Callithrix jacchus: one gene and its partner. The protein of the gene in region 1 interacts with the protein of each later gene in a pairwise test. Links are inferred from orthologs where the notes say so. Each region holds a gene or a part of one and is shown on either strand. Other genes may lie near its edges.

Region 1 (3,601 bases):
GCCTGACCAGGTGACCCGAGGCACAGTGACGCCCCCACCCAGGCTGGTGAAAAAGAATGAGGAAGCTGCTGATGAGGTCTTCAAAGACATCATGGAGTCTAGCCCAGGCTCCAGCCCGCCCAGCCTGACTCCAAAACTCCTCCGTCGGCAGGCCATGATGGCCCCTGCCTCGGGCCTCCCCAACAAGGAAGAAGCTGGGAAGGGCGGTGCCTTAGGGACCCCTGCTGTAGCTGAGCCAGTGCCCCCCACCAGCAAAGCGGGCTCAGGTGTACCAGCAGGCACCAGCAAGGGTCCCACCGAGGAGTCCAGAGTGAGGAGGCACAAGCACTCCTCTGAGTCACCAGGCAGGGACAAGGGGAAATTGTCCAGGCTCAAACCTGCCCCGCCGCCCCCACCAGCAGCCTCTGCAGGGAAGGCTGGAGGAAAGCCCTCACAGAGCCCGAGCCAGGAGGCGGCCGGGGAGGCAGGCCTGGGAGCAAAGACAAAAGCCACAAGTCTGGCTGATGCTGTGAACAGTGACGCTGCCAAGCCCAGCCAGCTGGGAGAGGGCTTCAAAAAGCCAGTACTCCCAGCCACTCCAAAGCCACAGTCCACCAAGCCATCGGGGACCCCCGTCAGCCCAGCCCCCATTCCCTCCACGTTGCCATCAGCATCCTCGGCCCTGGCTGGGGACCAGCCATCTTCCACTGCCTTCATCCCTCTCATATCAACCCGCGTGTCTCTTCGGAAAACCCGCCAGCCTCCAGAGCGGATCGCCAGCGGCACCATCACCAAGGGCGTGGTCCTGGACAGCACCGAGGCGCTGTGCCTCGCCATCTCTAGGAACTCTGAGCAGATGGCCAGCCACAGCGCGGTCCTGGAGGCCGGCAAAAACCTCTACACGTTCTGCGTGAGCTACGTGGATTCCATCCAGCAAATGAGGAACAAGTTTGCCTTCCGAGAGGCCATCAACAAACTGGAGAATAATCTCCGGGAGCTTCAGATCTGCCCGGCGACAGCAGGCAGTGGTCCGGCAGCCACTCAGGACTTCAGCAAGCTCCTCAGTTCAGTGAAGGAAATCAGCGACATAGTGCAGAGGTAGCAGCAGCCAGGTGTTTGGTGTCAGGCCCACCAGAGCTGCCTGCGGGTCCACCCGTACCTGTGACAGTGGCTGACAAGGGACCAGTGAGTCAGCACCTTGGCCCTGGAGCTCTATGCCAGGCAGAGCCCAGGGCCCTGTGGAGTCCAGCTCTACTACCTACATTTGCACCGACTGCCCTCCTGCACCTTCCTCCTCCCTGCCCGGGCACCCTGCTCCGTCTCTGTCCTCGAGTTTTATCTGTGGAGTTCCCGCTCCGTGGACTACAGTTGGCATGCTGGGGCCCGCCAGCCTCGCTCCTGCTTAGCGCTCCAGGCTCTCCAGGCCAGGTGGGAATGGCTGATTTGGAGTGTCCTTTTCGTTTTCTCCCTGGAGCCCCTCTTCCCCTGGCTGGGCCTTTTCCTTCCACTTCTCCAAGAACGGAAGCCTGACTGAGGCCTGTGCATCAGGCCCTCTGCCTGCACTTCCTGGCCTTGCCCCTCCTGTGCTGAAGACATGCTTCAAGAACCACATTTCGGGAAAAGCACACACGGCCATGCACATGGCTGGTCACTCTGCCCTCTGCTGCTGCCCGGGGCGGGATGCGCTCAACACTTCCTCACGTGCAGGACGGCTCTTGATTTGGGTGGAAATCGGTGCTAAAGCCAACCAGCCTTTTGGGTCCTGGGCAGGTGGGAGCTGAAAAGGATGGAGGCACCAGCCGTGTCCTTTTTGTCTGTCCTCTCCACATCCCTGGAGCCCAGCTCTTGCTCTCTCGTGACGTGCACTGTGAATCCTGGCAAGAAAGCTTGAGTCTCAAGGGTCCAGGTCACTGTTACTGCCAACATCCCTCCCCAGCAGAAGGGAGGCAGTGGTAGTTGGGTGAACAGCTGGTGCCAGATAGCCCCAGACTGGGCCAGGAAGGTCTGCAGGGGCCCAGAGTGAACCTTCCTTTCACACATCTGGGTGCCCTGAAAGGGCCAATCCCCTTCCTGCTCCTCTAACATAAGGGAGATTCTTACAAGGCCCATTCCTTTGGAACAAGACAGTCTTCACTTTTCTGAGTTCTTGAAGCATTTCAAATCCCTGCCTCTGTGTAGCCACTCTGAGAGAACAGAGCTGCCACCGGGCACTTGCACACACGCAGGAGGAAAGGCCCTGACCAGTCCCGGCCGCACTCTTGAACTGGGCGAGTATCTTATTTAATTACCATGAGTGACATAGCCTCATGTTCTATGGGGTTCATCAGGGAGTGTTAGGAAAACCACAAATGAAGCCCCTGAAGGCATCGAGTGTTTCACAGAGCACGCCTGGCATCTTCTCCCCGAGGCTGCCCCAGGCTGGAGCCCAGGTATGGGGGCTGTGACTCTGGGCAGGGACCTGGGGTCTCCTGGACCTTGACAGAGCAGCTAACTCCAAGAGCAGTGGGCAGGTGGCTGCGCCCCGGTCTCCACAATGGGAGAACCAGGAGGAGCCGCCTTCCCGCCCCTGTGCTGCCTCGTGCCGCCAGCCTCACACGGGCCCTAGCTTTATGCTCGTCACCTAAACTTGGACTTTATTTTTCTGGTAGAAATGGTTTTCTCTGGATCGTTTTATGCGGTTCTTACAGCACATCACCTCTTTGCCCCCAACGGCTGTGACCCAGCCCAAGGGAGGCATTAGTCACCGACAGCGGCCTTGAAGACAAAGCAAAGCACCCACCCAGGTCCCCCAACCGCCTGTTTCTGTGAGGTACTGGTCCCTTTTTTTTGTTAACGTGATGTGCCACTATATTGTACCCATATCTCTCAGTATGCATCTTTTATAGACGGTCTTTTATCAGTGGCGCGTGCACAGCGCCCACCCTGCTCCCTCGGACGTGTGCAGTGGTTCCTCTGCGTCTCTTGGTCTAGTGCATTTTGTTTCTGTATATGATTCTCTGTGTTTTTTTTGAACCCAAATCTCTCCTCTGTAGTATTTTTTAAATAAATCAGTGTTTACAACATTAGAATCCTTGGCAGATTGCTTCGGCCTGTGATCCTGCCCTGTTGTTCTGAGCCTGTGTGTGTGGGGGCCGGGATGCAGTGGGTTCTGGTGTCCCAATGGGGCTGGAGCCGGTGGCAGGTCTCACAGAGCAACGGTGGCAGGTTGGCCCCAGCTGCCCCAACCCCCTGCGGCCTGGGAGCCCACAACCATTTTTCAGGCACTTGTCCTACTATGCTTGGACGCTTCCTGTACCCTTGGCACTTACCTGCCAGCAGCCCAGCCCTGCCCGAATCACTGGGCATGGGCTGTGCCACCAGCCTGAGGCTGGCTAAGGGCAAATCCCTCCCCACGTGTGCCTGTTCCCTCTCTACGTTTCCACCCTATGCCCCCAGGCGCCCCTCACTCACCTGTTTTTCTCATGCCAGGTGTCTTAGATCTTTGTGTGGACGAGGAGGAGCGGTGGTGTGCTGGCCTTCGGAGCCTGGGAAGGCCATCCCAGACTGAGCCCCACCGCCCTTCCCCAGCTCAGTCCCCACCGAGCTCACAGCTTGGAAAGGGGCATCTGGGAAGTGAGCAGCG
Region 2 (2,907 bases), on another chromosome or scaffold:
CCTGAGTAGCTGGGATTGCAGGCATATGCCACCATGCCCGGCTGATTTTGTATTTGTAGTAGAGATGGGGTTTTGCCACATTGGCCAGGCTGGTCTCAAACTCCTGACCTCAGGTGATCCTCCCACCTTGGCCTCTCAAAGTGTTGGGATTACAGGTGTGAGCCACCGTGCCTGGCCAGGACCATATTTTAATTGTCTTTGTAGCTGCAGGGTTTAGTACACTGCCTGGCATCGAATTTTACAGATGCCATTTTCTGTCTCACTGTTTCTTTTTGCCTTTGAGATCTTCCGGCTTTGTTCTTGTGATCTTCTCTGCTGGTCTTTGTTCTTCTGAGTTTGTCCCTACCCTCACCTCAGCCCAAGCTGCATATGGGCTGCCCTCCTTGTTGTGTTTCTCTCACAGACGGTGTACAGTGCCTTGGGCCTGAGGGATGCCTGCTGCTCCCTGCCGCAGTCCATCCAGCTCTTTCGGGACATTGCTCAAGAGTTCTCTGATGACCTGCACCACATCGCCAGCCTCATTGGGAAAGTAGTGAGTGGATGGAAAGAGCGAGTGCACCCAGGGAGGTCAGGGAGAGAAAGGAGAGGGACTGGAGCCCAGGGAATGCAGTGTGCGAGATGGGGAAGCATGGGAGTTATTGAAGTCAGTTGGGTAGTTAAAGAATAGGATGGTGAGAGGAGGTGGCAGAAATTCAGGGAAGTAGCTGGAGGGTGAGAGTTAAAGCAGGACTGCAGGGAGAATTGGGGCCCAAGGAGAGCTGAGGAACAGGACAGAGAGGGTACCGGGTGCTAAGAATCAGTACTTCTTACCTCCTCAGGTAGACTTTGAGGGCAGTCTTGCTGAAAATCGCTTCACAGTGCTCCCCAACATAGATCCTGAAATTGATGAGAGTGAGTGTTGGGTGCGGATGGGCCTTTGAGCCCTGCGCAGGGACGGACTACCATCCTTGGCAGGTGGTCACCACAGCTGGGGATCTTCATAGAAACCAGGGCAGGAGCCTCACTTTTGATAACCACATGTCTTCCACCCTCGTAGAAAAACGAAGATTGATGGGACTTCCCAATTTCCTCACTGAGGTTGCCCGCAAGGAGCTGGAGAATCTGGACTCCCGTATTCCTTCATGCAGTGTCATCTATATCCCTCTGGTGAGGGTAGGAGAGTGGGTGTAGCCTTCAGAGGTCTTTTGGGGGAGATAGGCTTATGAAAGACACACTGGTAGATAAGAAAACTTATGGGGCAGCCTGAAGAACATGAATACCTTTTTGTGGGGATACAGTGATCTCTTAAGCTTCCTCTAGGGAGAGGAGGTGTCCAGTAAGTCTCCAAGCAGGAGAGTAGGGTATCTCCTCTTTACTCTCCCCAGATCGGCTTCCTTCTTTGTATTCCTCGCCTGTCTTCCATGGTAGAGGCCAGTGACTTTGAGATTGACGGACTGGACTTCATGGTAAGACCCTCAACCTTTGTAGGTGAGTGATGAGGAAAATGAGTCAGCAGCTGAGGAAGGGCCTTACCCCGTAGCAGCACTGCCCAGTATGGGCTCTCTCCTCTGTAGTTTTACTCTGAGCTTTACCAGCACTGAGGCAAAGGAAAGAGAAGTCAGGGTTAGGGGCTGGAGGTGAGGTTAGGAAGGTGAGGAAGAGGAGGAGGACCAAGAGATGCAAAGCCCACAGTTTTGAACCCCTGTACCCAGTTTCTCTCAGAGGAGAAGCTTCACTATCGTAGTGCCCGAACCAAGGAGCTGGATGCATTGCTGGGGGACCTGCACTGCGAGATCCGGGGTGAGGAGGAGCCAGAGGTTATGTGCATTGTAAGATGTTTTTAAAAAAGCAGCAGCCAGGGGCAGGAGGAGAGTGGGCAACTTGGGAATGTTTCCAACAGGCCCCTTCTCTTCCTACTCTGTCTCTCTCACTCTGACTCTGTGTCTTTTCCTCTGAATGTCTTCAGGTCTCAGATTTTATCTGCATACCTGTTTCCAGATCCCTCTAGGGGCCTCTGCCTCTCCTTCACTTTCCCCTGGAGCTGACCTCCAGCTCCCTCCCTCACCCCCTCTCAGACCAGGAGACGCTGCTGATGTACCAGTTGCAGTGCCAGGTGCTAGCACGAGCAGCTGTCTTAACCCGAGTATTAGACCTTGCCTCCCGCCTGGACGTCCTGCTGGCTCTTGCCAGTGCTGCCCGGGACTATGGCTACTCAAGGCCCCGTTACTCCCCACAAGTCCTTGGGGTACGAATCCAGAATGGCAGGTAAGAATAGAGGTGGAAGAATAAACATGAGGGGTCCAAAGGCTCCATCTTCTGGGGGTTCATCCATTTGGATCCACAAGCTATGTGAGGTGCCTCTCCACCCACTGCAGACATCCTCTGATGGAACTCTGTGCCCGAACCTTTGTGCCCAACTCCACAGAATGTGGTGGGGACAAAGGAAGAGTCAAAGTCATCACTGGACCCAACTCATCAGGGAAGAGCATATACCTCAAACAGGTGAGGAGAAGCCCTACAGCCTGAGCCTCTGGCATCTTCTGCATCTTCTCCACCCCTATTTGCCACCCAACCCAGGCTCCTGCAGCTCTTTTCCCCCATTTTCTGACCCCGCCCTTCATGAAAGGACCATGTGCTTCCATCTCACATGTTCTCATTCTCTATTAGAAAGCCATGCTCTAATGGAACTTTCCATGGCTCAAATTCCTCCACCCGCCTCTGAGTATGTACACACCACTTCCAAGTATGTCTCTGCCCATGTCCCATGCCTCTTTACTGATCCTAAATTAGCCAATGGGGCTATGATCAGGATTGGGGGAGGAGAGACAGTCAGTGTATTCTTTACCTTTTTCTCCTGTTTCACTCTCTCTCTCTTTGATCTGTCATTCATGCCTTGAGCCTCTCTTTCACCTCAGCCCATAGCACCAG

Evidence for each region.
Region 2: the proteins of ABL1 (region 1) and MSH5 interact in binary tests that used the Homo sapiens proteins (3 or more experiments, as listed by UniProt). The link is inferred for Callithrix jacchus from reciprocal best matches to the Homo sapiens genes ABL1 and MSH5.

What each region holds. Positions count from the first base shown.
Region 1 is NC_133502.1:179,533,122-179,536,722, forward strand, and holds the end of ABL1 (tyrosine-protein kinase ABL1), read left to right. Parts: coding exon 1-1,081; 3' UTR 1,082-3,044; downstream 3,045-3,601. UniProt on the Homo sapiens protein: Non-receptor tyrosine-protein kinase that plays a role in many key processes linked to cell growth and survival such as cytoskeleton remodeling in response to extracellular stimuli, cell motility and adhesion, receptor endocytosis, autophagy, DNA damage response and apoptosis.
Region 2 is NC_133505.1:39,266,030-39,268,936, forward strand, and holds part of MSH5 (mutS protein homolog 5), read left to right. Parts: intron 1-403; coding exon 404-532; intron 533-818; coding exon 819-891; intron 892-1,036; coding exon 1,037-1,146; intron 1,147-1,364; coding exon 1,365-1,445; intron 1,446-1,691; coding exon 1,692-1,779; intron 1,780-2,054; coding exon 2,055-2,244; intron 2,245-2,354; coding exon 2,355-2,481; intron 2,482-2,907.